7 linked regions of the Sus scrofa genome follow. The protein of the gene in region 7 interacts with the protein of the main gene of each other region in a biochemical or structural test. Links are inferred from orthologs where the notes say so. Each region holds a gene or a part of one and is shown on either strand. Other genes may lie near its edges.

Region 1 (4,199 bases), on a different chromosome or scaffold from region 7:
CGGTGAATGCTCACCTGTGCAGAAGCTGAGTCTGTAGCTTGTTTCATGGGCTGCCCCAAACAAATGCCAGTGCCGAGGGTCAGTGGAGGCCAGAGCTCAGGTGGCCAGTGGCTACCGAAAGGTACAATGTTCAAGGCAAAACCTGGGCCCATGTTTCTCAACTTCAGCTCCAAGACAGCACCAGCCCCCACCCCTGCCCACGGCGAAAAATGTCTACTAGCCCTTAAGCACTGAGGGGCAGAGGCTCCTTACCTGCCTCTGCCTAGTACCTCATAGGCACTCACCAACAAGTGCTGAATGAAGGGAATGCTCAGGCCCACTGAGGCTGCCCCCGGCACCATAAGGAGTGGAGCACAGGGCATGTCTTTGGCCCAGTCTCTGGCTGTCCCTCTGAACCTAGAGCTCAGACTGCCGAGGGCAGGCCCCACAGCCAAGTACTATCAATTAGCTAAATGGAAGCTACCTGTCCAGGCCCCAAGCTGGTACTTGCAGTAACAGGTTGCTGAGGTGCAGGAGACCAGCCAAGCGACCCACCCCGGTACAATTTCCATCCCCCTCACTCATTAGGAGGAAGGGGTCCTGTGCTTTCATCAACCTCTATTAGCATCTCCAGGAAGCGAGGCATCCTAGTGGTTAACCACTCAGGAAATCTGGACTGGTCTCACAACTCACTAGCTGAGTAACTAGGGAAGGTTCTAACCTCTCTAGGCCTCAGCTTCCCGACCTGGAAAAGGGGAAAGTTGTTGAGAGGGTTAAATGAGTTAATTGGGTAAAGTGCTTGGCACAGGGCCTAACACACAAAACAGTCTCAAAATAATGGTGGCTGCTATTGTTATTATTAGCATCTTAGTGATTCCGGAAGGAAGGCCACACTGGGCAAGGGGCCAGGGGGACTGGGGGAACCTTGGTGGGATGCCTCAGGGACCAGCTGCCACCCAGTCCCCCAACAGTAATTGGGCAGATACTACTTCCTTGCCCTGGGCTTTGCCTCTCCCCTCCCACTTGCTCCAAGCCCTGTGCTGAGACCCCATACTGCTTGGCTGGCCCCTGCCTGCCCATCCATGCCCTACCCTTACCCACAGGCTGCGCCAGTCAAACTGGTCTCCACACCCTGTCCTGCGGCCCACAGGTCCAAGCTCCAGGCCTCCACCCCCTTCTCCCCCTGTAACTCAGCGGTCTCTTCTGAGCCCCCCCCCAATCTGAATTGGTCTTAAGCCTCTTGCTGCTCAGGGAGCACTTTATCAAGGCATCTCCCTGGGGCATTTACTCTTTTCTAGCACTGGGGGCCTCCTCTCCAGCTCCCAGAGGCCCAGCCCACCCAGTACTTCCACTGGGGCCAGGGGTCTGCCTGCCTGATTAATGAGCTTCCATGGCAACCAGAGTCTGGGAGGGTGGAGGGTGGCAGATGGAAGGACAGGCAGAGGGAGGGGAATCAGCAGCTGGCCCAGCCACCCCGCCCCTGCAGAGAAGGCCTCCCAGCCAGGCGGCCTGTCCCCAGAGGCCCGGAGGGCTAGGCCTGCACCTGGCAGTCCAGCATCCAGGCAGGAAGGAGGGTCTCCTCAATGGCCCTTCAACTTTCTGGTCCCAGAACTTTCCCCTGACTTCCCCAAGCAGCCGTGCCCACCATCCAGCCACAAGTTCTGGTCTGAAGCCAGCAGGCCTCAGTTCAAATCCCACTTGCAGCCTTGTGACCAGGGGGCAAGCCACTTCCCCTCTCTGGGCACAGTTCAGATGGGCACAGTGACAACACAGAGCTAGCTCACAGCATGGATGTGAGTTTTAGCTGCCTTGAAGTCTGCCAGAGGCCTGGCAGGCAGTCAGCAACAGCTGAATACACGTGGGCCATTATTATCATTGAGTCTGACCCTAGACAGGCTCCAGCGAAGAAGCTGAGGCCCAGAGCACAGAGGAGCAAACAAGGACTGGCCCGAGGTCACCCTGCACCCCGGGGCGGAGCCCGAAGGCCCAACCCAAGCTCGGCACCGCCCAGCCTGGGCGCCTCAACCCACCCTCCCCCGCCCTCGCCGCCTCCAGGCCAAACATAGCGCCCCGCCCGGGTCTACGCCGGGGTCCAGGCAGCGCACTTGGCCCAGTGTCCCTGGTGTCCGTACCGGCGGGCGGCCGAGCGCGGGGCGCGGCGCGCTGGGGGTGGGCCGGGGCGCCTGCGGCGTGGCGAAGAGCAGCAGGTCGGGGTCGCGGGGGCCGGTGGCGGGCGCGGCGGGGCCGGCGGGGGCCGCTGGGGCGCTGGCGTCCTGCGCGGTGGAGATGATGACGATCTGCGAGGAGTCGAGCAGCCGCAGCGCGCCGGCCCCGAGCAGGGCCTCCAGCGCCGGCGCGCATGGGCCGCCCGCGGGGGCCACGGCCATGGCGCTCACGGCCCGCGCGGCCCGGGTGGCAGTCGGCGGCGGCGGCGCGGGCCCATGGCAGCAGGCCGAGGCGAGGGCTCGATCCCGCTCCGGATCCCGCTCCGCCCCCGGCCGCCGCTGCCTGCAAAGTCCCGGCCACTTTTACGCGCCAAATCCTTTTTGCCGCGAAAGAGCCACGAGCCGCCGAGCGCTGCGCCTATTGGCTGTCCTGGCTGTGACGGAGGCGACGGCGACGGCGCCCATTGGTTGCAGCGCGCCGGACCGGCGGCGGAGGGCGGGACGGGGCGGCGGCGCGAGGAAGCACCGCCAATCGCAGGATGGGGCGCGCGCAGGCTTTGTCGGGGCGGTGCCAGGCGCGTTCGCACTCCCCGCCCCTAGAGGGGACGGCCCTGTGTGGGGAGTGGTGGCCCCACCCCCTCTTCGACGCACCCCATCCTGTTGATACCCTTTAGTGGAGGCTTTTACAACAGAACGTGTGTTGTGCACAGATCGCTATCCACAGACCCCACGTGACCTCCCAGAACCCCCACCTGTGGGTGCTCCAACACCCTCAGGCCATAACTCTAGAAACTGCAAACGCAGTTTCTCTTTTCCAGGATCTCAAGCCCACCTACAAAACCCCAGCCACATCTTTCCTCAACTTGCCCCACCAATGCCATTTACTTTCAAATCCTGCGCCCACCTTATCCCTTCCACCCAGAGCACAAGCAGAAGGAGTTGCCAGAAAATGGAGAGGAATGTCTGACCCAGTACAGCTTGGGGCTTTTCTCCAAAGCCTCCTGTAGCTGGAATCGCTTCAACAACCAAAGCACAGCTTCTGCTTGAACTGATTCCTTCGTTCATTCAACAAACCTTTTTTTTTTTTTTTTTTTTTTTTTTTTGCTTTTTAGGGTACCCCCTGGAAGGTTCCCAGGCTGGGGGTCAAATCAGAGCTGTAGCTGCCAGCCAAGGCCACAGCCACAGCAACATCAGATCTGAGACCTGTCTGCCACCTACATCACTGCTCACCACAACGCTGGATCCTTAACCCACTGAGCAAGGCCAGGGATCGAACCCACAACCTCATGGTTCCTAGTCGGATTCATTTCCGCTGAGCCACTTTGGGAACCCCAACAAATGTTTTGAGAGTCTGCTCTGTGCCCCCTTCTTGACTCCTGGCCCTAAGGATCTAACAGTTTAGTGAAAGGGGCTGGAGGGAAACTGAGGTAACAAATGTTTACATATGACACAGATTTCAACTATTAAGGTAATTCCATGTTAGATTTTACAAAGGGAGGAGGTGAGTGTGCTGAGCAACCAGAGGCCACAGGACCTCCCCATCAGCCACTTCTCATTGCTCAGTTCAGCTGATTTGAGTTATATTGTCCTCTCCTCTGTGCCAGGCTTTGTGCCAGCGCTGAGGGCAGATATGTGAAAGGCTTGATAATTTCTATGAACTTGCCTGCCATCTGGTGGGGATGGGCCCATCAAAAAAAAAGTAGCTGGAGTTTCCTCTGTGGCACAATGGGATCGGTGTCATCTCTGTAGTGCCAGGATGTAGATTCTATTCCCAGCCTGGCACAGTGGATTAAAGGATCGGACTTACCACAGCTGTGGTGTAGGTTGCAACTGTGGCTCAGATCTGATTCCTGGCCTGGAACTCCATATGCCTCAGGGTGGCCAAAAGTGAAACAAACAATAAAAGGTAGCTAAGATGCAATCAAGAATGAGATCCCTTACGGATGTGATAAATTCATTGAGTAATAAAAAAATAAGATTTAGTACTAAAAATAATAATAATAATAATAAAGAATGAGATCCCTAGGCCACAGTATAAATATCACTTCTTCCAGG
Region 2 (4,111 bases), on a different chromosome or scaffold from region 7:
TCAAATTTCTTCCCTTTAGTGATTTAGGTGACTATGATAACATCTTCCACTGTATCTAAAAATAGGGCATGAGTGTGTAAATTTATGAGCTGAAATGTAAAAACTGGCACTGGATGTCTAAATTAGAGTATTAAATCATTTACCGTACTCTAGCATAAAAATATATTTTAAGCACTCATCTCCACATGCTTTGTATATTCATACAATTTTAATTCAACCATCCTTAATCTTTTCATATGAAGTGAAGAAATGTGAAATCATGAACTTTTTAACATTCTCAAATATGCCAAATCACTTCTTAAGAGATTAACTTGGACAAAGCACTCCACTCCAAACCTCAGACTCCTCTGACTAACAAGGAGACTAGACTAGAATGTCAGTGGTTCTCAGCCTTCTTTCCACCCCAGCCCATCTGAGGGATTCTACAACTGACAGCAGTCATGGACAGCAGTGGGGACAGCCTGCAATACATCTCTCAGAGGTGATTCTGATACACTACCCTAGAAGCTGTTCCCCTTCTCTCCACTCCACTCTGCTACTGCAGAGTTCTTTGAGGTTCTGCAGTTCTATAGGCTGCCACTGCAGGTACAGGAAAATAACAACCCAGAGGACCTGGAAGGCAACTGACAGTATTCCTTTAATACACTTAAAAAGAAAGGCCAAACATTACTATGCATTTTCTTTTGTTGAAGCATGCAAAATTCAAAGAGAATCTGTATAATGATGCTATCAAATAGGGCTTTGTAAGTGTTCATATGGCAAACAGCACACATTCTCTGGAATTCTTTTTTAATCAAGGGGGTAGGTAAGGCAAGAGGAAAAGTGGGGAATCAAAACAAATACCTTCTAAAGTTTGAGGGAATTGTTTGAACATGGAAGAGAGATTTATGCAAGTCAACTTTTCTGACAACAGAGAAGGAAAGCCAAAGACTGACACATAGAGATGGGATGTTATGTGACCCCAAATCTCCTCCCCAAACTATCAATTTGTTACAGATCTGACATCAATTCTACGTAAGAATATTTTCTTAACCAGACAACTCTGTTACAAACTAAGAGCTGAAAATATGATTTGGGTATATGCCATATTATAAATACAAATCAAATATACTGGCTCAGCATGGTGATTGATAGTTGCCCAGTATATTTACAAATAATGACAATTTCCTTTGTCTACTGTGGACAAATTCTACACTACTTAAAAGCTATTATATGTGTAAAGCTTTGTAAAAAATTCTCACAACTAGAGAAGAAGAAAATGTAATTTTTAAGACTTACTTGGAAAAATGTGTGTGGTTTACTTCAAATGAGAGCCAATATTACATCATCATTAATAAGTACACAAGGCATGGCAAAGATGCTGAGTGAGGCTTCAGATTAGAATTATCTATTAAAAAAAAATGTGTAACTGCATTATCTTCAAACCAGAAAACATACTAATCAATAAATGCTGATCATTAGCTATGGGCTTTATAGCGAGAGGAACTTTAAAAAGTACAAAAATTAACAATATTCCACAGATTTAGTATTTGACTCTCCCCCCCCAAAATTGGCTGGTTCTAGAAAGTTGCTGTCCTCTGTACCAGAAGATGCCACCAATGGTGACTAAGAAAACATCTCTATCACTGTTCTTTTGATTCATGCCTGAAAAGGTTGATAAATTTTTTCGGTAGGATTTCTTCTGAAATCCTTTACAAAACATACTGTCCATTGTTGGCTTAACTTGCTGAACCTAACTCCCATTAAAATAACAAATTCTCAATGTTCTCCACATGAAACATACCAATAAAACCTAAAACTTGTGTCAGTGAACAGACCAAATCACCTAACAAGAAGTAAAAGTGAACAGAAAGAAAATGCCCCAACCCAATTTTGTAAGATGTTCATGTAGAGACAGTAGCAATAGATACTATGCAAGAGAAGACAATACCTTACACTGCGTTTGGGATAGACAAACATTTCTTTAATGAACGTACACATTTCTTCCTCATTCTATACCCATGTGTCAAAACATCAAACAATTAAATTTGTGGCAGTTTCTGTTGTGTCTCAAACTTTACACCTAAGTTTATCATGAGGGGTAAAAAAAACCTGCTTGGCTTGACTTGCCATGAATCACAGCCAGGAGGTCATCTTGCTGTGTATCAGCAACTATGTTTTCACTACAGCTATGTGACCTGAAGTGGCAGCAGCAGAGGGACCAAAATAGAAGGGGCAGGAGGCTTCTCGGCCCCAAACAGGCTTTTCCAGCCCATTCGGGCATCTGAGCAAGAGCCAACCTCAGAGGAGAGAAAGAACAAATCCAAGGGCTCCGCGGAGGAAGGCTGCAGGCCCACCACACCTTCCTTGCCCTCCCCGGGAGTCCAGGGAGACAAGAACATAAAAGAGAACCGGCTTAAGAAACAGCTTGAAGAAAGCAGCATGACAAGGGCCAAAACTCGCCCGGTATAGGACAAAATTCAGGCGCGACCGAGAAGCACAGATTTCGGGAAGGTCTGGAGACCGAAACGATCTCCGGCCGGGGCTCCGGGCGCAGGTCCTGAGAGAGCGCACGGCGGGCCCCCTGCCTCCCAGCACCTCCAGCGCCCGGGACCTGCCGCTGCTCCCACCTCACCTGTCGGGTGCCCGCTGGCCCCGCCAGCATCCCTGGCCCCTGGTTCCCGCCCCGGCCCATCCTTCTTTCACGTTCCCTCCAGGCACAACTCTCAGACCACCGCCGGGCTCAGCGTGGGCAGGGGGCTGAAGCCCCCGCCCCAGACCGGGCCCCGGCACTCACTTTCTGAATCCGCTTCAGCGCCATGGGTCAGGGAGGACAGCGGGGACACTGGCCGGTGGGGGACGGCTTCGGGGCTCGGAGGCGTGGGATCGTTGCGGACTCGGTTCGCTGGCTATTCGGCTGGCTCAGCCGGGAGGGTCCCGGCTTGCTGCTCTCTCGCTCGCTCCGGGAGCCGCTGCCCGTTCCGAGTGCGCCCCAGCGCCAGTATGCGGGCGGGGACGCCGGTGAGACTCTTTTGTTTCCGCTTTTGCTTCTGGGAAGGAGGCTGTGTCCGCCCCGCCCCGCCCCGCCCCATCCCGCCGGGCACTTTGGGAAGTGTAGTTCCGGCTCTTCCTGGCCGCCGCCCGGGGCGGGGGTGCGTTGCTCACAGATGACCTAGACCCGCAGGCTGATCTCAGAACTACCCCGGGTTGAGTAGGTCTCTGCAGTTGGATTTTGAGCAAGGTACTGAAGTGGAGTCCCCATTCTGTAAAATGAGGATAACAAATTAGCTTGAAAAACATGTACAAGAATTTCTGACGTGCTGTAGCTCATCTTGCTTTTTTTTACGTTTACAGATTTTACCCTCTTCTCAAATACTTGAATTGCGTCAATTTCTCACATATGCACAGACTTATACCAGTTAAGACACCTTACCTCCTTAATTCCTATTTCAAAAGTCGCCCCTTCTATCTGATGCTAATCCCACCATGTTTGCTTCTTCTTGGAACTCCCAATTCTGAGTTTCATCCTCCTTCCTTTCCGTTGACAGACCAGTAGTACCTGCTCTGTCCCCATAGTCTCCTCGCGCTCCTCACTCACTCAATTCTTATGAACGTGTGTGCTCAATAAAACTTGGCTTCTGCTTTCAGCACCAGCAGAACTCGCTTCTCACCAGAGTCGCACTTGAGCTTCTACTTCCCAAATCGAGTTCGCTCCTTTTCCTCCATGACGTTTTTGACCTATTTCATTGCTGGCTACCTTTTGCTTTTTAAAATACTTACCGCCTACCAGAGCACTAGGGTAGTTGGGGTTTTTACTCCTCTGGCTTTGGCTTTTTTGTCACTAGCTCCCCTTCTCAAGAGTCAGAGTGGCCTGGAGTTCCAGTCTCTGATCTCTACCATGAACTGGGTGGGAGCCCACGAAGCTTGGCTGGAGGGAGGGCTTTGTAGACAGATCCTCTCCTGGAATGGGATCCCAGCTCTGATTCGTACCCACTGTGTGGTTGTGTAGTCAATTAAACTCTCTAAGCCTCAGTTTCCTCATGTCAAAATCTCTAGATATGTTATTGTAAAAATTAACTGATATACATATAACATGCCACAATACCTAATATGTTGAAAGTGCTCTATAAAA
Region 3 (4,139 bases), on a different chromosome or scaffold from region 7:
CCAAGACTTTGTGATGCCCTTTTATTTCCACTCATCTCCACAGCCCAAGACAATCCAGGCCTATCTCGGTCAGCTGTGCCTGGAGAAGGCCTGCCTGGCATTATTTGCTTTTATCTGTTCCCTTCGTAAGACTCAGACTGCAAGGAGCAGGCAGTTATTCAACAGATAATTGCTTATTCAATTGTTAAACACATCTATATTCTCTTTAAATAAATTGACATATAAAACACTTAAAGCATTAGCAGTGCTGGCGCTGTTACAGGCACTCTCCGTAAGCACTCAGTGATTATGGATACTTTCACTATTATCCACTAGGGTCTTTTTGTAGGCTGAGAGCTTCTCCTAAACATCCTTTTTTTTTAGTTCCAGTCAAAGAAAAGTGCCAGGTGCACAGTAGGCACTCAACGAAAATTTCTTTATCAATGTGAAAACTGAAATATACTTAAAAACTTTAAATCTTTCACAGCCCTGAATAAATTGTTGATATGGGACAGACAACAGAACCAAAGAGATCCAGGAGGATGCTTGAGGATGCTTGAGAGCCCAGTCATGATGAACCAAAGATCTAAGGTTCGATCAGTGCCTCCATCTATTAGCCACAGACATTGAACAAACTACTCAATCTCTCTAAGCCTCAGTCTCCTCATCTGTAAAATGGGAAAACGGTGATGCCTAAGTCACATGTGACTCTGAGGATGAACAAAACGATGCATGTAAAATGCTAAACATGGTGTCTAAACCTTCAATAAATATTCCCTGTTATCACCGCTCTCCGCAGAACTCAAGACTAAGGCAACAGCCAACTGTCAACCCTCACCAGTACCTTGAAATCACATTCATGTTTTAAGCACCTTTTGTGGAAACTGAAACAGAACACTCCTCTAGCAATTATTTCCACACACAGCTTCATAGGTGACTGGTACAGGTCACCTCCCAGCCATTGTCTGAATTTCTTTGCAGCTGCTTCCCCTGGAAAATGACACAACACGACTGGTACCTCACTTGTGTCCCAGTGAAGACAATCACCCTAAAAGGCTCCAAGAGAAGAAGCCCACAGGACCTCCACCTCTCACCTCCAGCATCTGGGGAAGGAGAGGGCTCTGCTGGGCACTGAAGTACTCCACTGACAACTGATACACGACTGCTAGGAAGCTGGAGCCTTGATCCTGTATTGAAGAAACTTTGGTTTCCTCAGAGGGATTAAGTAACCTGCCCTAAACCACACAGCTAATAGAAGACAGAAGTGAATTATGAACCTAGACAGTGGCTGGCTATCCTAGATGAAAGTCTGGCTGTGGACCCTGAAGGAGGAAACAGTCTGTAAGCAAACAAACCTTAGGGCCATGCCCTTAGCCAGCCCAGGAGTTCAAGGGAGAAAGCTTGGGAATGACTCACTAGACTCACCCACAAATAATTTTACTGCCCCACAAAAGCCAAAGGTGAATACAACGGCGAAGAGCTGCAGCCTGAGAGTCCTGCCTTCTTCCACTTCCTCAAAGAATCTTCCAGCGCCCTGCACCAGGCACAGTGATGAGGGGATGACAGGAGCTTACACACCCTGACAGCACTGCTCTGCGCCCCAACCCCCTCACTCCATCCTCGCAGCAGCCGCCACCCCGGGCCCACCACTATCCCCATTACACAGACGGGCACAGAGAGGGCCAAGGCCTCACAGCAGAGAAACAGAGTGGGGGGGAGGGGGGGACTGAACCCACGGCTGCCCCACAAGGGAGCTCTCACTGTTAGCCAGCCCAGGCCCTTCCCACCCTTCCAAATCCATCCCCCCTTCTCTGCCAAATCCCGAAGAGCACCGGTGACCCAAGCCCGGCGACTAGGAGGGAAGGGAGGGACAAGCTGAGCAAGCAAGTGATGTTGGGGGCGGGCAGAGCTCTCTCCCTCAAGTTCAGTGGAGCCGTCGGGGCCGCCCAGTCCCTGGGGATCGAATCCCACCGACGGCGCTCGGGGTGGCAGGAGCGAGGGCAGCCGGACGGCCAGGGAGAACGCGGGCGAAAGGAGGGCAGGGCGGAAGCGCGGCGGCCGAAGTTACCGTTCCCACGGCGTCCAGAACTGGTGCTGTCTCAGTCCCTCCGCCCCGAGGGTCTGCGGCCGCTCCAACGAAAGCGAAAGTAAAGCCGCAACGCGGCCAGGGGAGGAGTCGCCCCGGGCAGGACGCCGACCCGGCGGGCGGGGCTGCGGGCCCCGCCTCCGACTCGGGACCCCGCGCTTCTCAGAGTCGGCCGCGCGCGGGACCACCGCGCCGCCGCGCCCCGTCGGGGAGGGCGCGCTCTCACGGTCGCGCGCGTCGTCGCGGAGGGCGCCCTCGGCAGGCAAAGCTGGTCGCGCGCACCGGACGCGTCCTGGGCAAAGTTTGCAGAGATCCACAGGGGTCCCGGAGCTGCGCGCGCAATCTCCAGGAGAAAGTTCTGCAGCGTCCACTGCGCTCCAAGTGACCTGAAGGGCGCGCTCCGCAGACCCGGCGCACGCAGCGTCCCAGTCGGGCGGACTGAAGAGTGCGCCCTGCCGACTTCGCGGCGCTTGATAATGGGGCGCTGGTCAGAGTCCACCTTCCTGCCCTCCCGCTGCCTCCGGTCTACACCGCGACTTCGGCCTCCGCACCGGCCCTGGGACCTGTTCCAAAGGCCCAACGGCTCCTCCTCAGCCAAATCCTGACCCTGATCGTCTATGCGGGGGACTGGGTGCCCGCATCTTCCTGAGTTACCGTCTCCCTAGGGCCAGCCGAGGGAGCCGCCGTGGTCTCCTGCCGCTCAGAACTTGCTTCCATTCGCTGACGCGCCTTCCTCACGCGTGGGCGGCAGGAACTAACAGTTTTCTGCAGAGCACGTCCACACCTCTTAACAGAGCCTGCTGGCCGGGACGTAGCGCCAGAATCATTCATGGACTATTTATTGAGCGCCCTCATGTGTCAGCCACTGGGTACTTGGCCATGAGTTAGTCTAAAACGGGAGAGAGTCTAATATGGTACTTTCACTCGTGCCACCTAACCCCCAGCCTTGCATCCCCAGGTCCCCCAACACCCATGCATGCTCCCACTTTTGTCTTTATTCAACCTGGGACCTCCAGCTGAGGCCTCCAAGGCCTTGCTCTCCAAGATTCCTCGGGGGAGCAGCTTATGCATGCAGTTACACTGAAGTGTAAATAGCTAAGGAGACCTGACAGTTTTATTCATACCAGAGATGTTTGCTTTGAAAGAACTATCAACGCCTTCAGTGAAAGGAACGAACCTTCTTCGTCGTGCATCATTAGGCAAGAACGCATCTCGTCTTTTTGTTTGCTGTCCCCTGGGCCTGAGACTTCAATATCGTCCATAATATCTTACCAGGTAAGGACGCTTCCTTGATTTAAGGAAGACTGGCCGCAGGCAAGTGTAAGGGAGTGATTATAATTTATTACCTTCTGCCAGAATCCTGAATTCCTGAATATTTCAAACAGGCAGTTACACTATTTCCACTATGGATGTGCTATAGGTTGTTTGGGCCACCTACCTCCCTGCCAAATTCCTATGTTGAAACTAAATCTCCAAAATGATGGCATTAGGAGGTGGGGGCCTTTGGGAGGTGCTTAAATCAGGAAGGTGGAGCCCTGGTGAGTGGGATTAGTGCCTTGATAAAAGAGGCCAGGCTGAGCATCCTGGCCTTTTCTATCATGTGAGGACATAGAAATTGCAGTCGGCTACCCCAACGTGGGCTCTGACTAGAACCCAACCATGCTGGCACCCTGATCTTAGCCTTCTGGCCTCCAGAACTGTGAAGAATACGTTTCTGGTGTTTATAAGCTATTCAGTTTCTGTCTTTTGTTATAGCAGCCAGAACAGACTAAGACAGGCTGCGCTACTCTTTTCTTTAACAGCCATGTTTCTGAAATGTCAAGGCGAGCCAAGTCATGGTAGACACAGAGTTAATTTTCTTTTTGAAGGAATTCAGTGGTGAATCATTTGAGAAATGGAATAAAAAGCCTATTAGTAGGGCAAATAGGTTACCCTATGATTTATCGCATTTATGAATTCAAGTTTTGCAGGTTATTCGTGAAATAAGATGAAACACGGTGTTAGATATGGGAGCCACCTTCACAACTAATCCCTCTGCTGGTATTATAGATACAGAATCTGAGGCTCAGAGAGG
Region 4 (3,500 bases), on a different chromosome or scaffold from region 7:
CCAAAATCCTCAAATTCCAGCCCAGAATAGAAGAGGTACGTTATCAACACCCAGAATCTTCTTGTAGAAACACGGGAATAAAAACTCCCATCAGACGACAGCAGCGTGTCAGAGGCAGACTCTCCTGGCAACGGGACGCCGTGCAGGCAGACCCTGAGTCCTCTCGCAAATGCCACTTCGCGTTCAGGGGCCTGCACTCAATCCCTGCTGGTTAACCCTGCTCTCCAGGGAGCAAGAAAAGCCCTGTTCCCATTTTCTCTCCACTACAATGGAAACAAATGTTCAAAAGGAACCTGATTTTAAAAAGGAGAGAAAGGTGAGTTCCCGCTGTGGCTCAGCAGGTTAAGAACCCAACTAGCATCCATGAGGACGTGGGTTTGATCCCTGGTCTCGCTCAGTGGGTTGAGGATCTGGCGTGGCTGTGGCTTTGGTGCAGGCCAGCAGCTGCAGCTCCCATTCGACCCCTAGAGTTTGGGAACCTCCATGTGCTGGAGGCGAGGCCATTAAAAAAATTTTTTAAATAAAAATAAAAAAAGGGAGAGGAGTGCGAATGAATAAACAAAAGCTGTAAGCTCCACCAAGGCTGTATCTGTCTTTCCACTCCCTGGCAGGGCTGTCTGGCACCACTACCACCAGGCACAAGCTGGGCTGGCTCTTCCTTCCGCGGGCGTCTACCAAGCCCGAGCCCGCGACGCGGGGCGAATGGAAGGGCCGCTCCCGGGCGGCGGGAGCCCTGGCTGAGGTTTACCTTGATGTGAAAGTCGTCGTCAACGAGGATGTTCTCGGGCTTGAGGTCCTTGTGGATGACGCCCTCGCCGTGCAGGTAGCGCATGCCTTCGATGGTCTCCATGACTATCCTCCCCTTCACAGACAGAGGGACGGGGGTCTAGAACGAGCGACGGGAGACCGTGAGGGGGGAGGCCACGCGGCCAGAGCCCCGCTCCTTCCAGGGGACGGAGTGCCCCTTCCGAAAGGTGTCCTCCCGAGGGCCGCGGCGTCCGGGCCGTGATCCATCAGGGTCCAGAGCCAGCTGCGCCGCCACAGGCCATGTGCAAAAGTGCCGGAGGATGAAGCCCCTTGAGGTCCAGACCGTGCTGTTCTTATCGTCACCACTTAGGATGCGACCTGACCCCCATGCACGGCGCCGGGGAGTCTGCGGGTGAGCACGCGCGTGCCAGGCGCTCCTCTGGGTTAAATACGACCATGGCGCGGACACGTGTGACACAGAAGGGTCCGAGGACACGCACACAAGGGGACGGGCCCACGCTGGTTAAAAGCACATAAAGGGTCACCCATGAGGTGACACGATGTGGTGGTGACAACGCTCAAGCGGGTGGCTGTCGCTGTGGGGCCTGGAACCAGAGCGTTCACGGCGTTGTAGACTCTCAGGTCACTCTCACCTGTGCACGTGGCACAGTCTTAACTATACGAATACCAGTGTGAACACAGACAACTCCAGCTACTAGTAAAAGCAGTCACACATTAGTCTTGCTTAACAGTGAAAACGCAAACTCTCACTGGGTGCGTGCGTGTGTGAGCGTGTGTACAGTCCTTAGTCTACAAACACACAGTTTTCTAAAAATTTGTGAATGTTGGTTGTTGGTAAAGAGGAAAAAACTGAAACGTCAGAAGTCAGATTCCCACGTCAGCCCCTCAAAACGTCGCTAAGTGGTGCTGCAGCGGGACAGCCTGGCGGCCACCGCGTGCACACGACGCTGGAGACCCCTGTTCTGAGGCACCTTTGGACCTCGGGGACACTCCGGGCGTGCAGGGGGACCCTGTGCCTTTCCCTCTCTGCTGCTCCCGCACCCTCCTGGGTTTCTGCCGGACGCCTTCCCTTTGCCGGAAGGCGCAGAGGGTCTCGGTCCCGGACGATCTGCCCCCATCAAAACGCCTGCCTGCCTCGCGCCTCTTCTCCAGTTTGGGGAGAAGAGCGGTCAGAGCAAACACAGCGTGTGGAAGCGACTTCGGCTGAGCCTCCCCCGCTACCCGCGGGAGCCGTCTGACCTCCCAGCCGCAGCTTCCGCGGCTGGGGGCGGGGGAGAAGGTGGGAGGGGCTCCGCGCCGCAAGGACGGCCACACCCCCCGCAGGCTCCCACGCTGGGCGCGCTCTGGGCGCGCTCGCGGCCCTTGGCTCCCGCCCTTCGCTCTCTGCTCGGGACACTCACTCCTCGATTCTCTGCCTCACACCACCGCCTCAGACTCCGGCTCAGGCCTCCTCTCTTCTGGAACCCTTGCCACCTACCCCGTCTGTCCCTGTGTCCCCAGAGCTCGCCTCTCTGAACACCCGCACCCAGGCCGGTGGCCTACGGTCCGGCCCCGTTACTCGTCTGGGCGCATCCGCTGGTGCTTCCTGAGCAGCCAGCACAGGGCCGTGCTCCTAACAGGTGCACGAACTTGAACAAGGGCTTTCAAGTTATTGGGCTTCGGTGATCAATGTCAGCCTTCCGCGCGCAGCGTTATAGTTCTAAGGTTTTATACGTTTAACTTGGACGTTTCTTCAGTGGCATCAGAGTGCAGTCCCTGATGTCCCACCCTGTCACACGGTCATTTCTGGTGTCATCATTTAACCAGTCCTTCAGTACTGGGGTGTGATCCCTTATGTACAAACCCCCCATCAGGCCACATGGATCTGAGAGCAGCTGACAAAAGCCACCGCGACGCCTAGGACGCCGCGACCCCGAGGGACCTTCCCAGTGAGGACGCCGCCTGTCTGCAGGGCCGAGGGGCGGGGGAGGGTCGAGGGCAGGGGGAGACCACCTTCCGGCCAGGGAAGCCGAGGAAGACCAGAGGGGCCGACCTCAAGAAAGGCAAACGCGCAGCAGTTCACCCGGGGCCCAGGGCAGCAGGCAGCGGGCAGCGGCGGTACCTGGGCCTTGAGCACCCGCATGAGGTCGCCCTTCGCCATGTACTCTATCACCAGCGAGTAGTCCCCTTCCTCCATGACGACGCCCAGCAGCCTCACCACACGGCTGTGTCGCAGCCTGTGCATCATCCTGCCCTCCTCCAGCAGGGACTCGTTGTACCTGGGGGGAGAGGAACACGGGCTATGTGTACCTGCGGGGGAGCTAAGTATACCTGGGGGAGGGGCTACGTGTACCTGGGGGGCAGGAGGGACACGGGCTAAGTGTACCTTGGGGGGGGGGGCTGAGTGTACCTGTGGGGGTGGGGGAACAGGGGCTAAATGTATCTGGGGAGGGGCTAAGTGTTCGGGGGAGGGGGGCTAAGGGGCTCCTCCCCACCCCAGAGACGCAGCCCACATCGCATCACTGCACTCCCGTCACTGCCTGTGCCTGGGGGACCTTCCCAGGCAGCCCACAAGCTTCAGCAAGCGGGGGTTTCTTGTTCCCAGCGCCCACCAGGGGGCTCAGGAAATGTTCAGTGGATGAGAGAATGAGCAGCAGCGATGAAACGCAGCCTGCAAAAAGGGCTGTGCTGGACAGCGAAATAAAAAATGCTGCCCCAGGTGGCACAGCGGGTTAAGGATCTGGCCTTGGCAC
Region 5 (3,500 bases), on a different chromosome or scaffold from region 7:
AGAAATTTTTGCTTTTTAAATAAATAATTTAAATTATATATTTTCAAATACTTGAATAACACTTAATAATATTATTACTTTCTTTGGTCATTGTTTTTAAGTTACTGTATTGTTTTCACTTAGAGTTATTGTAGTTATATTTTCTTTTTTTTTTTTAATCCTTGTGTCAACTCTATAAATCTGTTAGGGAAAGAGTATCATCTCCACTTTGTATATAAAATAACTGATATTCAAGGAAGTAGTCACATAACACCCTGCATAGCTGAGAGTAGAATGGCCAGTCTAAGAGTAGAATAAGATTTAGCTTAATAAGATTTAATTTAAATTAAGTTAATATAATAAGATTTTTCATAAAGAAATTTCTGAAAACAAAGATCACCATTTAGAATGCCTTGTTTTCTTTGAGTTTCCTACATTTTTTTAGTTCTTTGAACTGACTGTTCTAATTCAGGTTTTCATAAATAGCATCTCTTACATCTTGAGTAATAAAACTGAATCAAAACTGTCTTTCCTTAATATTCCATTTCGTTTCTTTTAGTTCATAGATAATTTAATTGTCATTAACGGACTGTTTAAGAAAAATTATGTTAGTAATTAACAACATTACTTAATCAGGAATTCCCTTGTGGTTCAGTAGGTTAAGGATGCGGTGTTGTCACTGCCACGGCTTGGGTTGCTGCTGGGGCATGGGTTTGAGCCCTAGCCCAGGAACTTCTGTGTGCCACGGGCACAACCAAAAAGAAAAAAAAAAAAAACAATATTGCATGATCAAAAATATTTCAGTAAATTTAAAAGCACAGAAAAAACTTATATAACAGAGGTGGATCCAAAGATGAGTTTTGAAGTTTCATATGAAAATATATGTAACAAATGTTAATTGGACTCTGTATGAAAAGTACTATGCTAGATAGATTATATACACAGACGAATAGTAGTCTTTCCTCCTAAAACTTCGTAGACCTGTAATGGAGCAGACAGTCATTAAGCATGGATGATGAAGGACTGGGTGTGAATCCCACCAATGTCTAAAGTTCTCTAGAGCAGTTGCCATTATATTGGTTTGGGGAAGAAAAGAAGACTGACGGGTTTGTTTTTAAATCACTCAGTAGTGATGACTACTAATCCAAGCCTAGCTTAAGAGAGTAAATCACTAACCAATTTTACATTGATGGTACTAAATTGTTTGGTACTAAACAATTTTAGTACCAAAATTATAGCATTTAAATAAATAATTCTGCTTTAAAAAGCTACTATTTATTGAATGTTTCAAAGTAATGTTACTTCTCATCTTCTTTACAATAATACTGCAGAACAGGTATTATCTCCAGTTTACAAATAAGTAAACTAAGATTAAATCTTATGCCCAGAATCAAACAGATATCCTGGGATTCTAAGCCAGATCTGATTGACCCCTATCATTCCTTTAGGGTACTCTTCCTCCTTCACTTATTCCAGCCCTCAATTTCTTATCTACAAAATGAAAATAATAATAGACAATAGTGAATGCTTATAGCTATGGATAGATAGACACACAAATTGAAATTTATTAAGCACATAATTTGAACCAGATACTTTTATATTCATTATCTCACTTAATCTCTAGATTGATCCTGCATGTAGATATTATTGTTTTAAAAGATGAATTTTCTCAAGGTAATCAGTTAATATGAGATAGAATTCAGAGCCTGTGTCTTTAAAGTTATTTCCCCTATTCTACATTATCTCTGCTATAAATTATATACTATATTCTTAACTGATGGAGATTTTCTTTCCTTTGATTTTTTTGTATAAACATATAAAATATGTTAAATAGACTGCATTTCACTCATATAATTTACTAATCACTTCTAATTCAAGTAATATATGTATTATTTATTCCAGTTGCAAAGTGCTTCCAGTACTGTTCACTTATGTGACAAGAAGAAAACAGAGTTATATCCGAACACATCTGTAAATCATGGTTCACAAGAGGTAAAAAAAAATATGTTGATTAACTCAAAATGTGAGAAAAATATGAAAAATCAGTCTATCTTGCTCTTTTATAAATGGGAAGCTAAAGTCCAGGAAGATTTTAGGATTTGTTAGGTAGCCCATGGCAATCTCCAATTTGAAAGCCAGCTCCCCTAATTCTCAGTTCTTGGTTCATTTCATCAAATCACAGTCCTTGTTTCCTTCATAGGCATTGTTTTATGTAATGAACAGTGTTCCAGTGTAGTTCATAGGCAAATCATCAACACAGTTCTGCCACTATATTTATACTTTCTTATCCAAATGTAAAAAAGCTATAATACTAGTTCTTAACCTCTTACAATGATTAATAAAAGGAAAATACCATTTGTGTGGCTATCCAAAAAGAAAGATTTCTTTAGTAGCACTCATTCAGAATTATTTCACAGTAATCATATCTTTTAAGAATATATATGTTGGAGTTCCCGTCGTGGCTCAGTGGTTAACGAATCCAACTAGGAACCATGAGGTTGCGGGTTCGATCCCTAGCCTTGCTCAGTGGGTTAAGAATCCAGCGTTGCTGTGAGCTGTGGTGAAGGTTGCAGACGCGGCTCAGATCCTGCATTGCTGTGGCTGTGGCGTAGGCCGACGGCTACGGCTCTGATTAGACCCCTAGCCTGGGAATCTCCACATGCCGTGAGAGTGGCCCAAGAAATGGCAAAAAAAAAAAAAAGAATATATATGTTCTCTTTACAGATTCAGTAAAGTAATGATACCTTTAAAATGAACCTTAAAACTCAGTATAGTATTTGAATCACCTTTATATACACTCTCTCATTGGATCTTTGAGCCCATACATGCACATTTTGGGGTAAATATTACAAGAAAAGAACCTGAGAGCCATATTGTTTAAATGTCTTGCCAACACTTAGCAGTAATCCTATGACAGAGCTAGGATTAGGGCCAAGTTTTACATTACTTTTTCTATGGGTTCTCATTCTTCCATGTTGAAGGAACCTGAGGTATTGAGAATAGGCATTTGCTCTAAATTACTAGGTAATCAGAGTTGCAGATCTCAAATTTTTCATCAGCTGGACATAGTATTAATATTTTGTACATAATCTCAGCTCTTCTGGAATTATGTACAAAATACTGAAAAACTCATATTTTAATATATTTAATTATTTCCCCATCCCCCAATTTGACCTGATTTAAAAAATCAAGTTCATTTTTGTTATTTTATATATGTGTTTAATTTTGTAAGGTATAATTTGTGTTAGTTTTGATTCTTTGTTTGTAATAAGCCAAAAGCAAGAATAATTTTTTAAATGATTTTTCATTAACCTAAATCATTTATCTATTATTTACTTTAGGAATCATGTGGATCTTCGCAGCTTCATAAACCTAGTAATTCTCCAGGAACCTCAAAGTCCCTGTCAGCTACTCAAGACAGTGACTTTTTATCTAGTATGTAAATTTTTCAGCCAATATTAATGGCAGGTTTTCCGTTTTCTTTCAAAATCATATTTTGACAAGCAGTCTTTGTTTGTATG
Region 6 (4,094 bases), on a different chromosome or scaffold from region 7:
AACGGCTTTTAATTAAAGAATCCCCCCCAAAAAATTTTTTTGATTGAGCCTATGGTAGGCTGAAGTTCCCAGACCAGGGATCAAACCCACACCACAGCAGGGATGCCAGATCCTTAACCCACTGAGCCACCAGGGAACTCCTCCTAATAATATTTTTATTTATTTTGGAGTTCCCATTGTGGCACAGCGGAAACGAATCTGACTAGTATCCATGAGGATGCAGGTTCAATCCCTGGCCTGGGACATGGGTCAGGGATCTGGTGTTGCCGTGGCTGTGGTGTTGCCATGGCTGTGATGTAGACTGGCAGCTGTAGTTCCAATTTGACCCCTAGCCTGAGAACTTCCATTGGAGTTCCCGTCGTAGCTCTGTGGTTAACGAATCCAACTAGGAACCATGAGGTTGTGGGTTCGATCCCTGGCCTTGCTCAGTGGGTTAAGGATCCGGCATTGCTGTGAGCTGAGGGGTAGGTCGCAGACACGGCTTGGATCTGGCGTGGCTGTGGTGTAGGCTGGGGGTCACAGTTCTGATTCGACCCCTAGCCTGGGAACCTCCATATGCTGTGGGAGTGGCCCTAGAAAAGGCAAGAAGGAAAAAAAAAAAAAAAAAAACCAACCAAACAACAACAGAAATGACTGACAGTGCTCAGCCACTATGTTTTATGCTCAATATGCCCTTCACAGAGCCTAGCAGTGCCAAAGAGTAACAGAAACAGAATAAGAACAATACTGGCAGCTGACACTCATAAGCACTCAGTAAGGGCCAGGCACCTGTGAGGCACTTAATAACCAGCATTTTACTCAAGCCTCACAATTTCCTCCTGAGGCACCTCTCTTGAAGGATGAGAGATTTGCTCAGGGTCTCCCTCTAAGTGGTGAGGTGGGGATTTCAAGTAAAGATCCAGACGCCACAGCAGGCATTCAACAGGTATTTGACTACGTAAACAAGCCAACAGAACAGGAGAGTCCATCTGTGAGATCAAGCAAACTGAATCTATCTGCTGGGCTTATGTTTCAGTTTTACAAATTTTCAGATAAGAATATTACATCCTAGAATTAGATAAAACATTATTAGCAATCTGACTTTCTTAAAAAATAGTATTATTTCAAGTTCTAAACATTGCTGATGCAGCATTTTTAGTTTTTAAAGGAAATCCAGACAATTTAAAATGCCAAGACAAAGGGACATGTTTAATTCAGTAGCAAAAGGATCAAAATTTCATTTAAACAAATTTACTAATTTCACCATTCCCCCAGTTAACACCTCCTCCATTAAAGCTTTCTTTCAAAGGGTTAAAAAAAAAAGTTCCATACAGGTTCCTAGGTAGGGGAAACTTACAATTTCTACTGATAAAGCTAGAACTACCAAGCTTCACATCTGTAAGCCTGACAAATCATACAGAGAGCATCTTTAAAAAAAAAAAAAAATCAGTTCTCTAACTGTCCTTCATGGATCGGAATTAGTTATAGGAACAATTTCAAACGTTTTATTGGCAATGATCTAAATAAAACAAAAAACGCACACATTCACCAAGAGGCATAAAAGCAGCACCAGTCCTAACGACGACTTTGGGGTATAGTGAAGCCAGAACTCTTCCTTCTACTCGACAAGACTCGAAATATGTACCAGTTGCATTCGGAGTTTGCTGAAAACTGGCAGTAATTCTTGGAGCTTCCTTGTTAGAAGGCTCCTCTACTTGAGCAAGGCTGAGACACACAATTTTGCTCGGATTACACTGAGATTCTTGTTTCCAGAGGAGAAAAAAAAAAAAACTGCATAAGACAAGTCTTGTCTTCCTCTAGGGCCTGTAACCACCACAGGCTGTAATGAAAAGAAATGCCTTGAGTCACAGGACAGCTCGGCCCAGGAGCCAGTTCTGCTACATGCCATACCCAACGCAGGAGCGAACGCAGAGCCAGCTTTTTCTTTTCTTTTTTTTCTTTTTGACTACACCACGTTCAGAGAAAAGAACAGTCTTAATCGCACCCAGCTCCTCGCAGCTAGAAATCTGCAAAGTTTCTCCACCTTAATAGCAAACAGCATCACTTAAGAAAATCAGAAAAGTGGCAAAGTACAGGCGGAAGGCACCCCCCAGCAGATCCGCCTAGGGTCCCCAAAGCAGCCCGTGTACACAGTCCTCCAACACGACCGACCTGGGACCGCAGGGACCCACCGAGGTTCTCCCTGCGGCTCGAGAGCTTCATGGAAACACCAAGAAAGGCAACTCCCTAAACCCACCCAATCTACGGGCCACGGAGGGAGGGTGGCGGCGAGGCGCTGGGCGGGTTCGGCCGGGCGGTCAGCCGGCCTGCGAGAAAGCGGGAGGGTGGAGTTCAGTTTTCCCTCCAGCCGCCGCTCGCCGATTCCCTCCCTCCCCCACCCAAAAAAAGCCGGAACCAGGCGCGCGCGCCGCCGGGTCCCGAGAGGGGGCGGCCCGCGACCCCCGCCCCGGAGAGGCCCGGCCAGGCCCCGCGCGAGCCCGCGGCGCCCGCCCGCCCCCGGCCCCCCGGCCCCCCGGCCCCCGGCCCCCGGCCCCGGCCAGGCCCGCGCACTCACCCGTCTCCCACCACCACACACTTGATGGCCTGCATCTGGGCCGCTCGCTGGGCCGCGGCGGCGGCGGCGGCCGGGCACTGAGGCGAGGAGCTCGGAGCTCGGGGCGCGGCGGGCGGGCGGGCGCGCGGCTGCGGGCGGCAGGGCGCGGGGTGCCGGGGCCGCGGTCCACGCCGCCTCGCCCTCCGCCGACGGGAAGCGGGAGCCCAGCAGCAGCCACCACCCAAAGCTGGGGAAAACTGCAGAGAAACAGGAAATGGCCGCTCCACTCACATCCGGCCTCCCCTCCCCCGCCCGGCGCCGCCGCTCCCAGACTCCGGGGCGGGGCCGATCCCACCCGCGCGGCTCCCGAGGTTCCTGTCGGCTTCGGGAACGCTCGGGAGCGCTCGGCTCCGAACGCGGGGCGCGCCGGCCGCCATCTTGGTGCGCCTGGAACGCGGTCCGGGCCCCGCCCTCCCCGCCTGGGTTCCGCCGCGGGAGGGGTTCCGCCGCGGGAGGGGTCTCGGCTTCCCCCACATCGACTCGCGCCCGAGACCGTCCGAGGGCATGAGGGGCATGGGAGCCCCCCTTTTTAGTGACACTTCCAACTTAGGGGATGTTGGCAAGGTCCTTCTAGAAAATTCGGAATTGAAAACTGTAACGAAGAGCGTCGCCGGCACCGTATTCGGAGATAACCAATGTTCATTCAGCCAAAAATGTGTTGAACTTTGTTCCTCTTAGGCATATTCTGATTATTTGTAATTCACTGTTTGTAATGTGTTGACTGTTTGCTAGGTTTTAATGCTTTGCACCAAAGTTCTGGACATAATGCTCTGTTAGCGGACCATTAAAGTGCAAATATTTTGGCGTATTTCAATCTAGTTGCATCTTTTTGTTTTGTTTTGTTTTTTGTCATTTTGCTATTTCTTGGGCCACTCCCGCGGCATATGGAGGTTCTCAGGCTAGGGGTCGAATCGGAGCTGTAGCCGCCGGCCTACGCCAGAGCCACAGCAACGCGGGATCCGAGCCGAGTCTGCAACCTACACCACAGCTCAGGGCAACGCCGGATCGTTAACCCACTGAGCAAGGGCAGGGACCGAACCCGCAACCTCATGGTTCCTAGTCGGATTCGTTAACCACTGCGCCACGACGGGAACTCCTAGTTGCATCTTTATATACGTAATGAACATGACTTAGGCGAAATTGGGAAATGCTACTGAGTCCCTGTTAAAACATTTGTCATCACGGCTTCCTCTTGGTTCCATTAGGCACATATACCTTACTTTATATATAACCAGTGTCTCTATTTTCAGACACAAGGCTGGGATGAACGCGTTTGTCCAAGTATCTTTTTTTTTTTTTTTTTTTGTCTTTTGTCTTTTTTAGGGCCGCTTCCGGGAAATATGGAGGTTCCCAGGCTAGGGGTCTAATCGAAGCTACAGCTGCCGGCCTACACCACAGCCACACGACACCAGATCTGAGCCGCGTTTGCGACCTACACCACAGCTCATGGCAACGTCAGGTCCTTAACCCACTGAGCGAGGCCAGAGATCAAACCCACAAC
Region 7 (3,500 bases):
TCCAGTCACCACAAAGACAACACCAGATACTTAACCTGCTGCACCACAGCAGGAACTCCTCTGCTGGCTTTTTAACCCTAACTTTGGCATACTAGTATCCAGAGCTAGTCTATAAGCTCCTTGAAAGTAAGCACCACGAGTGTTTGGCACAGGTGCTCATTCTCAATTCTTATTTGTTGAAGGACCTGTTCCAAAAGACCTGTTTGGGACTCTGAGGCTTAACACAATCTGGATGAATACCAAAATCAGCTCTCTACTATCTTTGGGTTTGGTGCTTCTCATCGAACCCTGGGATTTCATCCTGGGTTCTATTTTTTTGTGTAAGTATCACTAAGCAAGGATTACAGTCAAATACCATTTTAAGAATATGATTTGAAGGAACTTAAGACATGAACCCAACTTTAAAATCTTGCTTTTTCAAAATAGTTTATATCTGCTATATTTGAGGAAGAAATGCAATATCACTAAAGAAAGAAGTTATGCTAAAATCTTCTGATGAACATAAATCAAGGATCTTCTTGGAAACTAAACATTCAGAAAAAAATTATAGTCAGTGGTTCTCAACTAGGGTAATACACTGCCCACGGTGGAAAAGGGGATGTGAAATTTGGAAACAACTGGTGGCTGCCAACAGCAGTCAGTGGCTAGATGGGGATGGCACTCTCCTGCATCATCTGAGACAGTCCTATGAGCCCCACTGAGAAAGAATGCAGGTGACCACCATTCCCAAGTACCTGAGGCTGTTTCTTCAGTTTGTCTTTCATTCTCTTCTTCTCTTTTTTCATCTTCAGCATTAAGAAGTGCTGACACAATATCATTAACTGTTTTATAATTCTCTCCAGTTGTTAGGATTTTACTCTGAATTGTCCGCTTTATCAGGCTTCTACTGAAGCCCATTTCCAAGGCAGCTTTAACCACAGGTGTATTCATCATGACTACATCATTTGAAGAATTTTCTCCAGGCCCAAAATGAACAACTATTTTAAAAGACATATTTGTGTAAATTCCATGAATATAGAAATACACAGAACTATAATGACTATGACACAATCTTCACTGCTGGTTATATCCTGGTAAAGTAAATTAGGCTATATGTAACAATCTACAACTCCAACAAAAGTTTGAACCTGATAAGGATCAAATGAGAGTGTAGTAACAGGCTATACTTTTGAGATACTACTTTCCATGCTACGTCCTACACCTAGTTAATTAGAAACTCTAGAGATGGAGCATTGGAATCTTCTAAAAATTCCCCAAACAATTCTAATGTACAGCTATTTTTGAAAACTGAGATGCTACACAAATTTAGAGGTGAGAAATTATCTCAATTCAGCTAGAAAAGTGGGGAACTGACAAAAGACTTCACGGAAAAGGTGGCATTAGAGTCTGGATTTGAAGGATGGACAGGCTCTAGAGAGGTGGATAAATGAGGCAGAGAGAATAAAGCAAACAAAGATGGGAAGAACAGTAAAATGGGAGACTAGTTCACACAAAATACATCTAAAAATGTGGTAAAAATGTGATTAACGAAGTAGCATGATTTCAGATATTGACAGATATTCTGAAGAAAATAAAGCAATGCTAAGGGTGTTAAGGTTATTAAAACAAACTAGGAAATAGGACTACAATTTACATAGAGTGATTAGGGAAGCATTTTCTAATGACAGGGTCAATGTTAGCTAACACAGCACTTCTGTGAAAATTACGAAAAGACATCACTCTTCAAGACACTTTACTGCCATCTGCTGGAAAAGTGTTTTATAATAAATATAAACATAACATGTATTTGCTCCTTTGATCAAACATACGTGAAAAGCCTGTCTGAAGAGAACCCCAGGACAAAACATTTGAATGATAAGGAGTGAGCTATGGGAATACTGAAAGACATCTTCCAGGCAAAGAGAACACAAGTGTGAACGCTTCAAGTCAGGAAAAAGGCTTGAGCTTGACATAGCTTGACATAGTCAAGAAAAAGCTTGACATAGGCAAGAAATCGAAATATGGTAGAAAGTCAGAGAAGAAGGTGATTCAGCCTTTCAAGGAGTTTACATTTTGTACAGCCTTTCGAGGAGTTTATATTTTGCTAGAATGTTCTACGAGGGTTTTAAGCAGAAGACTGATGAAATCTGATCTGTTTTTTCAAAAAAGAATGACTGTGGCAACTCTGTGATAAATTTTAGTGAGGTAAAACGGAATCAGGGAGACCTATTAGGATTTTATGACAGGTGATGGCAGCTCAGATCATGTAGACAGTGGTGGAGATAGAAAGAAGTGGTAAGATCTGGGACATATTATGAAAGCTGAAATGAAAGGACTTCTAATAGGTTAAATATACATAGTCAAAGGAGGAATCGGAGATGATGCCTAACTTAGGCCAACTTTTGACCTTAGCAAGTGGATGCCTTTAACTGAGTTGGGAAGACCAGAGAAAAAGCAAATATAAGGGATGAAGGACAGGAAGAAAATGTCTGCTTTGGTCACATTAACCTGAGACACCCGTTATAACCAAGTAGAGATTTAAACAGGTAGTTGGACCTGCCAGTCTGGAGCTCAGGAAATGCAGAAATCTGGGCTGAACACTGAGATATACTCCATTATTTAGAGATTTGAAAAAGGAGTAACCACCAAGGAAAATTATTCATGATCAACCAGGGCAATAGGAGAACCAAGAATGTGGTGTCTGGAAAGCCAAGTGAAGAAGATACCTTAAGAGGGATGAGAGTAATGACAGCAAGACTGTCAGTTATGCTGTTTCCCACTTGTATCCCACTCAACAACAATTTGGAATCTATCCACAGATACAAGGGCCTTTGTGCGAGGCTTTGGGATTCAGATGTAGGATTATGAAGCCACAGTATATTGCAAGACCAATGAAAGCCATTTTGAGAAGACTGGCCTGTACCAAGGAGATGAAATCCCCGACTGTGGTCCCAGCCACAGACCAGAAACAGCTCCATATCCATCAGGACTGAAAGAAGAAGGTCTTTACCTGCCAAAACCAGTCAATAAAGACTGGAAGAGGTGTCTGCACAGACACCAAGGCAAAACTACATGTATCACACAAATCAGGTACATATGACACCATCAAAGGAAACAAATCCAAAAGTGACCCCAAAGAAATGAAATCTATGATTTGTCTGACAATGAACTCAATCAAATCACCTTAAAGAAACGAAAAAAAATTCAAGAGAACAAAATAAACTAAATGAAATGAAGATAACAAAGCATGAACAAAACCAGAAATTTAATTAAGAAAGAGAAAACATAAAAAAGAATCAAACATAAAACCTGGAGCTGAAGAATATACGGACAGAACTGAAAAATTCAATAGAGAGCTTCAACAACAGACTTAATGATACAGAAGAAAGAAATCAGATAACTCAGAGATCTGAAATCAGCCAGTTACAGGAACAACAAAAAAAAAGATAATGAAAAAGAGGAAAGAAAACCTACATGAATTATGAGACACCACCAAGCAAATAAACATTCATATGATGGGA

What was found.
Region 1: the proteins of baculoviral IAP repeat-containing protein 2 (region 7) and E2F1 form a complex in vitro, tested with the Homo sapiens proteins (2 studies listed by BioGRID, with this or other methods). The link is inferred for Sus scrofa from reciprocal best matches to the Homo sapiens genes BIRC2 and E2F1.
Region 2: the proteins of baculoviral IAP repeat-containing protein 2 (region 7) and UBE2D1 form a complex in vitro, tested with the Homo sapiens proteins (11 studies listed by BioGRID). The link is inferred for Sus scrofa from reciprocal best matches to the Homo sapiens genes BIRC2 and UBE2D1.
Region 3: the proteins of baculoviral IAP repeat-containing protein 2 (region 7) and CASP7 form a complex in vitro, tested with the Homo sapiens proteins (2 studies listed by BioGRID, with this or other methods). The link is inferred for Sus scrofa from reciprocal best matches to the Homo sapiens genes BIRC2 and CASP7.
Region 4: of the proteins of baculoviral IAP repeat-containing protein 2 (region 7) and RIPK1, one has a biochemical effect on the other in vitro, tested with the Homo sapiens proteins (6 studies listed by BioGRID, with this or other methods). The link is inferred for Sus scrofa from reciprocal best matches to the Homo sapiens genes BIRC2 and RIPK1.
Region 5: the proteins of baculoviral IAP repeat-containing protein 2 (region 7) and RIPK2 form a complex in vitro, tested with the Homo sapiens proteins (4 studies listed by BioGRID, with this or other methods). The link is inferred for Sus scrofa from reciprocal best matches to the Homo sapiens genes BIRC2 and RIPK2.
Region 6: the proteins of baculoviral IAP repeat-containing protein 2 (region 7) and RAC1 form a complex in vitro, tested with the Homo sapiens proteins (2 studies listed by BioGRID and IntAct, with this or other methods). The link is inferred for Sus scrofa from reciprocal best matches to the Homo sapiens genes BIRC2 and RAC1.

Annotation. Positions count from the first base shown.
Region 1 is NC_010459.5:37,187,319-37,191,517, forward strand, and holds the start of E2F1 (transcription factor E2F1), read right to left. Parts: upstream 2,801-4,199; coding exon 2,796-2,800; intron 2,741-2,795; coding exon 2,629-2,740; intron 2,505-2,628; coding exon 2,112-2,504; intron 1-2,111. UniProt on the Homo sapiens protein: Transcription activator that binds DNA cooperatively with DP proteins through the E2 recognition site, 5'-TTTC[CG]CGC-3' found in the promoter region of a number of genes whose products are involved in cell cycle regulation or in DNA replication.
Region 2 is NC_010456.5:92,327,414-92,331,524, forward strand, and holds the start of UBE2D1 (UB2D1), read right to left. Parts: upstream 2,801-4,111; coding exon 2,777-2,800; intron 1-2,776.
Region 3 is NC_010456.5:124,016,531-124,020,669, reverse strand, and holds the start of CASP7 (caspase-7), read right to left. Parts: upstream 2,801-4,139; 5' UTR 2,783-2,800; coding exon of another isoform or gene 2,777-2,782; exon of another isoform or gene 1,405-2,776; intron 1-1,404. UniProt on the Homo sapiens protein: Thiol protease involved in different programmed cell death processes, such as apoptosis, pyroptosis or granzyme-mediated programmed cell death, by proteolytically cleaving target proteins.
Region 4 is NC_010449.5:1,858,143-1,861,642, reverse strand, and holds part of RIPK1 (receptor-interacting serine/threonine-protein kinase 1), read right to left. Parts: intron 3,027-3,500; coding exon 2,870-3,026; intron 887-2,869; coding exon 749-886; intron 1-748. UniProt on the Homo sapiens protein: Serine-threonine kinase which is a key regulator of TNF-mediated apoptosis, necroptosis and inflammatory pathways.
Region 5 is NC_010446.5:47,030,134-47,033,633, reverse strand, and holds part of RIPK2 (receptor-interacting serine/threonine-protein kinase 2), read left to right. Parts: intron 1-1,881; coding exon 1,882-1,971; intron 1,972-3,320; coding exon 3,321-3,414; intron 3,415-3,500.
Region 6 is NC_010445.4:4,800,711-4,804,804, forward strand, and holds the start of RAC1 (ras-related C3 botulinum toxin substrate 3), read right to left. Parts: upstream 2,801-4,094; 5' UTR 2,590-2,800; coding exon 2,555-2,589; intron 1-2,554. UniProt on the Homo sapiens protein: Plasma membrane-associated small GTPase which cycles between active GTP-bound and inactive GDP-bound states.
Region 7 is NC_010451.4:33,055,107-33,058,606, reverse strand, and holds part of baculoviral IAP repeat-containing protein 2, read right to left. Parts: intron 978-3,500; coding exon 735-977; intron 1-734. UniProt on the Homo sapiens protein: Multi-functional protein which regulates not only caspases and apoptosis, but also modulates inflammatory signaling and immunity, mitogenic kinase signaling, and cell proliferation, as well as cell invasion and metastasis.